2 linked regions of the Oryzias latipes genome follow. The protein of the gene in region 2 interacts with the protein of the main gene of each other region in a pairwise test. Links are inferred from orthologs where the notes say so. Each region holds a gene or a part of one and is shown on either strand. Other genes may lie near its edges.

What was found.
Region 1: the proteins of ppp1r12a (region 2) and atxn10 interact in binary tests that used the Homo sapiens proteins (3 or more experiments, as listed by UniProt). The link is inferred for Oryzias latipes from reciprocal best matches to the Homo sapiens genes PPP1R12A and ATXN10.

Annotation. Positions count from the first base shown.
Region 1 is NC_019881.2:6,818,141-6,822,012, forward strand, and holds part of atxn10 (ataxin-10), read right to left. Parts: intron 1,727-3,872; coding exon 1,562-1,726; intron 1-1,561. UniProt on the Homo sapiens protein: May play a role in the regulation of cytokinesis. May play a role in signaling by stimulating protein glycosylation. Induces neuritogenesis by activating the Ras-MAP kinase pathway and is necessary for the survival of cerebellar neurons.
Region 2 is NC_019881.2:19,251,771-19,256,098, reverse strand, and holds the start of ppp1r12a (protein phosphatase 1 regulatory subunit 12A), read right to left. Parts: upstream 3,080-4,328; 5' UTR 2,969-3,079; coding exon 2,732-2,968; intron 1-2,731. UniProt on the Homo sapiens protein: Key regulator of protein phosphatase 1C (PPP1C). Mediates binding to myosin. As part of the PPP1C complex, involved in dephosphorylation of PLK1. Capable of inhibiting HIF1AN-dependent suppression of HIF1A activity.

The DNA of each region.
Region 1 (3,872 bases), about 12 Mb from region 2:
CATGCCCTTAAGATTACACTCGATGTTGTTGCCCCCCTGAAACTTAAGTTCGTTAGACAAAGCAGGTTGCGCAGTGGTTTAACGCTGAAACACACGTTCTCTTAAACAAGCAGATGAGGCAGGGTTTCTGGAAAACCGGTTGCCAGTTGCAGTTTGCCGGCCCTTGAGGCCTGGATTTGGACACCCCTGGTCTAAGGGCAGGGATGCCAGTTTAGTTTAGTCTGTTTAGTTAGTTCAATTTAGTATTTTCCTATTAAATTCTATGTATTCATTATCCTTTTGATTTTATGTTTTACTTTTTCAATTACCGATACAAATCCCATGGAGACGACTGTTGTTGTGAATTTGGGCTATACAAATAAAATTTAATTGAATTGAATTAAAGGAAAGAATGAATGAGGCCATGTATTATCAGATTTAGAGTGAAAACCTTCCATCGGCAGGGGCATTAAAGATGAAACGTGGCTGGGTCTTTCAGCATGACAACAATCCCAAACACACTGCCCGGGTAACATGGATTGGCTTCATAAGAAGCATTTCAAGGTCCTGGTGTGCTCTAGCCAGACTCCAGATCTCAACCCCATAGAAAATCTTTGGAGGGAGTTGAAAGTCTGTGTTGCCTAGCGACAGCCCCAAGATATCACTGCTCTAGAGGAGATCTGTATGGAGGAATGGGCAAAAATACCAGCAACAGTTTGTGAAAATCTTAAGAAGACTTACACAAAACGCTTGACTGCTGTCATTGCAAACAAAGGGCTTATAACAAAGAATTTAGTTATTGACCAAGTACTTATTTTCCACCATAATTGGCAAATAAATTCTTTAAAAATCAGACAATATGATTTTCTGTTTTTTTCTTCTCATTTTGTCTCATAGTTGAGGTTTACCTATGATGAAAAGTACAGGCACCTCTCATCGCTAAGTGGAAGAACTTGCACAATTGGTGGCTGACTAAATACTTTTTTGCCCCACTGTGTATATAAAGTGTTCTTAAGATTTAGAAACTAACAAAAAAAAGACAAAACAGCAACATAAAAAAATTGCTCCTTAAGTTTAAAAGACGACATTTGTCAGAAAAACAACAAGCACCGATATCATGACAAATTTTTCTTTTAGATAAATAAGTTAAAAAGTTGTGTTGGAAAAATGTGAAATACACTAAATGATGCAAAATGGGGGGGGGGTGTAGTTACATCAAAAATTATTCAACTCTCTTGATTATTGTGAGTAAGTTTCACTTTTTAATCCTGTATGTTTCTTTTAGTTTCGAAGTTAGAGTACAGGTGTGCCCTCAAACATTTCTCCCAGATGTAACTTTAACAAAATGTCTGCAATATTCCAAACTTCAAAGTAAACAAGAAAAACAAAAAAAAAAAAGAAACTACATTTTGGCTCCTACAGTAAGTTTCATGTCTGGGAAGTGCAGAGGGTTGGATCTAGACCGGTTTCTGCTGTGAAACTGAACCCAAATGATGTGCAGATTGTGTGTGTATATGGGGGTGGGGGTGGGGGGGTTTGACTAAAAGGAGAAAAGAAACTTTAAATGGAAGTGTGAACTTACGTCCAGTCCACATCAGGATGGGTTCTGCAGACCTCCATCACCTTCAGGGCCAGCGCGATGTTCTGTGGCTTTGACAAATCTTCCACTTTAGCCTCATCCAGACATGTGTGAAGAACCATTGAGGTGTAGTTCACCACTTTGTCATCGGCGACACTGAGCAGCTGCCTGAACCACAAGGTAGGAAGTGGACAAGATGTGAAGATGACATTTAATCAAACACTCCTTAAAGACCCACACCAATGAAAATGGTGTCTTTGGTGATTTTAAAATGTCTTTGAGATATTTTTCCTGACGATGCAGTTTAACAAGAGCTCATTTGTGATGTTGAACATACGCTGAGGCTCCCTGCTCCGATCTCTCAGCAACAGGGAGGGGAAGGGGGGTGGGGATGCTCACGCCGACAATCATGACAACAGTGAACGACTGCCGCCCTACAGAAACTATGTCCAAGAAAACGACACAGATTTTTGGATAACTACAGGACAACTGGCAACGCTTGTACAATAGGTCAAAAGATGATTGGAGTGTGACTTTAACCTAGAACTCTGTCAAAATAAAAACAGAAAGTCTCTAAAAGTCCAAACTAATCAAGCTCACAAAAAAGTGATAATAGATTATAAAATTGAATATATGAACGTTTTTTTTCTTTCAATTGTTTATTTGTGACAATTTCCCTAAATTTCTTGTTTCTACACTTCAAAAACATTTGAGGAAACTTTAAAAATAAAAGAGAACTTAAAAGAATTAGGATTTTTGTAGGTATTTGCAAAGGAATTCAAAGTGGGTCTTTTACCTTAATTCAGTGGTTCTCAAATAGTGGGGCGCACCCCGATGCGATGCCATGGGGGGCGCGCAGTAGTAGCGGTTTTAGGCACAGGTAATACGGGCAATTGCCCGGGGCGTAAATTTAACAGGGCGCGGTGGTGACAGTGGCTCAGTGCTTTAAAAACATTTGCGCCACTGTTGGTTTACTATTGTCTGTTATATCAGTGTTTGTAACAGCCTGAAACTGTGAACTGCCATCCCTGCAGCTGCTCCTGTCTCCCGTCACACACGGCTGCGTGTGTGAGAATGAAAGCGGAGGGGAAGGGGGCTCAGGCTGCAAGGTGGAAGGGGGCACGCGGAGCGCTAGATTGCGCAACACCAGGATCATCACGTGCCTTTAGATCAGTGTTTTTCAACCTTCTTTGAGCCACGGCACACTTTAACCTTGACAAAAATCCCGCGGCACACCAGCATCCCAAAAAAAAAAAAAAAAGCAGAAACTCATAGTCTGTTTTGATCTACAGCCCCCCCCGGCAATCTGACGTGCATTTTTGTGATAATTGTGGCAGAAAAAGCAGGAAGTTGCAGATGTTTTTCTAAAAGATGTAATAAAAGTTAAGTTACATACAAACTGTATGTTCGTTGTGTTTTCAAGACGCTGTCCCTTTAAGCCAATGCATCATGGGAGATGTAGTGTGAAAACTGCGAGAAAACGGCAGAAAGACTCGCGTCTCTGAGCTTCATGGTTTTGTTCACTTGTTCCACGGTCTGATACCAGATTCTGTGGAAAGCTCCACCGCTAAAGACGAGCTTTAGCTGGTGTTTTTGTCGGAACTGACTGAGTTATGAGCTAATTTGGAACAAGGAAGTGGAGACTTTAACCACTTCTGATTGGTCAGACTGATGACATGTGATTAAGCCTTCAAGAATGATTGGTGGAGTCGTGGAGACAGTAAAAGCTGCGGGACTTTTCCTTACACAGTTATAGCTGCAGCTATTTCGCGTTACCGTCATTCTTATCAAAATGTCTTTAATAGAATCAAATAAACACAACGAAAAAAGTATTTTATGATCGTTTATATTCCTAACTACTCAGTGTTTTATCAGGACCTGTTTGGATGAACAAAGACCTGATTTCCTGGAGATGGGAAATGTTTTTAGATCAGTTAATGAGGGCAATTTTCCACGGCACACTTGACCATCTCCCACGGCACACTAGTGTGCCGCGGCACACTGGTTGAAAAACACTGCTTTAGATGACTCAGCTCATGTTAATAATGTCATTCTTTATTAACTATTGTAGAAATTTTGATGACGTCTTTATTTTCCATAGATGTATTCTTTGTCTGCCTGTGGTTTAGTTGGTGTCAGTATTTGTCATAAAGACAGCAGGTAATGCTGCACTTTATGAGATCATAAATAAACAATCATCATTTAGATCAGTGTTTTTCAACCAGTGTGCCGTGGGAGATGGTCAAGTGTGCCGTGGGAAATTGCCCTCATTAACTGATCTGAAAACATTTTCCATCTCCAGGATTTGAGCTCT
Region 2 (4,328 bases):
ATAGGACACATATTTAAAAAAAAAAAAAAAAAAAACAAGTCTAAAGTTGCATTCTTGTGTTTGTCTTTAATCAAATCTTTTTTAATTGGTAGCAGACAAAAACATTTCATTGAAAAATAAAAAAAATGAGATAATTTTTGAACATCGAAAATCCACTACAAGCTCCCGGCTCTGCAACATTCTGATGCACCTACTTGCAGACAAATAGATCCACGTCCGTCTTTGTTTTACTCGTCTGAGCAGGAACATGGCTCTAAACTGTACAGCTAGATAGCTTGCTTGCCATTTTTCTGGTACCGGTAATGTTAGATTGACGGTGTTAGGGGTTGTAACCTAGCAGGAGAGTGCATAAACAGAGAGCTCTCAGCAACGGTCAACAACAAATCGCAGAGGCCAATTTCTAATGAACTACTGCCGCTCTGTAGAAATTACGTCCTAGAGAACGACAGGATTTTGGCTAAATATAACTGAAAACCCAGTGGGAATGTTTTTAGAATAGATTAAAAGAGGATCGGAATGGGTCTTTAGGCAAGTATGCCCAAGATCTCAGATGCACAGCATCCTTTTTGTTAGTGTTCAGCCTGGGAACGGCTCAAACCGTTGGCTTTTAACGCCAGGGCAGCAGCTTGGAAGCATGTTTACAGGCCTTTCAGCAACACAACATTTTTTAAGTTTGGATTTGTCTGCGATTTACAAACAAAGTCAACCTCTGGCCTGAATGATATCAGAGCTTCAGCACAAAGCACAGCTTCAGACTGTGAGTCATATCCAAACTTAGTATCATCTCCTGAAACCCAGTTAGGAGAACTTGGGACAGGTTATTTATAACCACGCACCAGTCACTAGCAATGGGAGGGTCACCACTGCACCATGCAGAGAACCATCACGACAGAATAAGACAAAAGCCAGTATCTCATGTCCATTTCTGTAGATTTTAATGGGTATAACGTTAGAAATCATAATGTCTCAGACATCTGTTAACCAACCTGGACTGCAAAAGAACAGATAATCTTTAAATCCCACATTATTATTGCTTAACTGCTCAGAGATCACATGCTGGCATATAACACCCACTTCTCACTGCTAGAAATACACAGATTTAAAGCAGCTTGCCCCCATATTTGCTCTATTGAAGTTATAAACCAATAACTCACTACAGACTTCAAAAAATAAAACAATGTCCACCTAGCAGCATCGATGACATCAGATAGAAAAGGGGACTGGAGGTAAAGCCAGGTTTTGGCAATCTTCTACCATATGGACAATGCTGACAGAAAGAACAGAAAAAGAGCAGCTATCTATGACCAGACATGTGAATGTGAGCAATGTGATGACATGGCTGATGACCAAGCATTAAACAATTAATGTGAGCTCAGACTGTCCCTAATGTTAGAACAAACAAACAAAATGTAGACAGCCAAACTTACGAAAATAAAAGCACACAAACAAAATAACCCCTTTTTCTCTGTTTAAAAAAAAAAAACAGATCATGGAGTGTCGTTATAGTAGATCATGGGCATCTTTACTAAGAAAAAAAAAAGAGTTTATACTTAGCTTATTATGTTATGAGTGGCACAAATAAGCTTAATAGCTGTTCTGAGAACACGCTTTTTTCCTTAGTACAATTAAGTGATGACTGGGTAAAATAAAAAAATAAAAACTATCGTCGGTTAAAAGGTTGAATTTAAATCTGTCATTTGTTTGGGGCTTACCAACACATCGATCCGACCGCTTAAGTCTCTAACAAAGTCTGGTGATCCAGTAAGCACCAAAGCTACGGAGCGAAGCTACGGTAGTTAGCGGGCACATAGCTCAGCTCGGTACGGCTGACTTTCCGGTTTAGCCAACAAACCAAACACCAGTATTTGGTAGTATTTGTTTAAAAAAACAAGTCATTAAAAGTCCTATTTCAGAGAACAAAAAACAATTCGTGTAAATGAATGAATTAAGCGACGATGAAGTCCAACAGCTAACAAGTTATCTTAGCATGCTAGCAGCCTTAAGCTAACCCTAAATACAAGTTTAATAGCATTTTCTTTAGCTCGATTTTGGACTAACCTTTGAGCAAAACTTGACTTTAACTAATTTGGGATTATTTCAAAAGAACAATTTAAGGAAAAAAAGGTTGTCGCGCTGTCCTAAAAGGCTAGCCACATTTGTGATTTGGGGTTATCAACAAAACTACTTTTACTGCTAACCAGGTGAGGTAGTACTAGCAGCCGTCCACTGCCATAAAACCAAGAATCCCAAACAGGGATGCGTCTATCAATGGAAACGTTTGTAACTAAAGTCGATACTTTATGACATAAATTTAATTTATGTTACTTAACTTCACCAGACAAGAAATTAAACACTGACGTTTCATTTAAATGGGCTTTTCATGTAGCAATTTTAACATGATGTACTGTAATTAGACTACACCCAGAGCAGGGAATACACAGACCCGCTTTAGAGGTAAAAGAGGGATTCATTGGAGGGAAACTTGGCCAAAAATCGTCAGGTGTGTTCGCTAAGGTGTGTGAAAGCTGTTTGTGGGGTATCCCCCGCGCAAGCTTCTTGTTCCCTGGTGCGTCGAATCGAAAGGAAGAGGGCTCGGTAGGTAAACAACGGGATGAGAATGGCTTCCACTTGACAGGTGTTCCAGGGAAAGCAGTTGCATGCTGTAAAGCCCTGTTTGAGAGCGGCAGGGGCTGCAGGCTGGTTTTAACGGAGACAGCAGGTGAGCACTGACCTGGTGGAGCGCTGTGAGGCCGTCCACATTGGCATAGTTGATGTCAGCACCCCGGTCCAGCATACGGAGCACCTCCTCTGTATCGCCGCTTGAGCAGGCGGCCAGAAACACGGCGCCATCATCGAACTTCACCTTCGTCTTCTTCTTTTTGAAAACAGGAGGCTCCTGGTCCGTTTCCGAGCCCATCCATCGCTTTAGCTGTTCATTCCTTTTCTGCTTGGCGTCCGCCATCTTCATCCCCCTCCTGTCTCGGGCTTCTTATCTTTCTCCGAGAGAGGATATACTTTATAGTGCCACTATCCCACGGGCGCACTGGGGCGTGGGAAGGGAGGGCTGAGGAGGAGGAGGAACTGAGCGAAAGAAGTCTGAATTGTTTGACAAAATCTCGCGAGAACTAAAATCCAGGCTCTGCAGTATACGTCACCATCAGCAGATATGAGGAAAGTGGAGGAAATGTACGGTAGCCCCTAGGAACAAAATTAGCAATGAAGAATTTTTAAATGCATCACTGCTAAATAAAAATAAAAGAAAAAATTGAAATGTTAGAGACATTAAAACAACAAATGAAATGATCAAACCGCAAAACTTCACAAAAAAAGAATAAAATTTAACCTAAATATTTTTCCCCCAAAAATGAAGGGGGGGGGGGGGGGGAATTTGACTAATTAGCCAACTATAAATGAACAAAATAAAAGCAACATCTTTAAAGCTTACAGGTCTAAGGGTCATTTACCAGGCAGTCTGTTGGGGGTTCAACTCTCAGGTTTCATTAAATAAGTTTCTTGCTTTCTTTTAGTAGCACCTTACTTCTTTCTGAATGGATTTTAAAATATGTTATACCGGGTTTTTATAGTGGTGTATTTTATTATGAAAAGTAACGGCACGTCATAGTCATTGTGTAAAGGTAACCTATACAAAAAGGTGTTTATTGGTAGGCTAAATGCAGCCAAATTCTAAAATGTATGATAATGTTTACAAATAGACTTGAAGAAAAGGTTTTTTATTGAACCGAAAATGTTTTAAACCACAAACCATTGCCTTTTTAGTTTTAAACAAACAAACAAAACAAAACAAAAATATGTATATATACTGTATATATGTATTTTTTTTACCTACATGGGTACCAACACGGAAAAAAATACTTGTTATATTGGCTAAAACACATCGTGATCTGTTTGTTTCATTGTAAAGACTGAGTTGCATATCTCTCCATTAGACATCTTGTTTTTTCGCACTTCTATTATTATCAAAGTCTTTCAAATGGGAGGGGACTTGTTTCCTGTTCTTTTCATTTTAGGAAGCAAAGGGATTTTTTTCCTGCAAACTAAACAAACTTTAACTGTACAGGTATTTCCCCTTTTGATCCCTTTGTTCCATGCATGGGTGCATCCAAAAATCTCTCCTCCATCTTTGTCATATGCAAGGTTATTTTTGAGTCTAAAAGAAAACACGACGCTCAAAGAGTAAAAATAAAACCAGTTTCACCTGCAGTGATTAGATGGATAGCACTTGGTGAGCTTGGAATGTAGACTCAAGCACAAAGGAGGTCCACATCGACCTGTATTAAAAACAGTTTCCCTTTTTATTTTATTTTTTT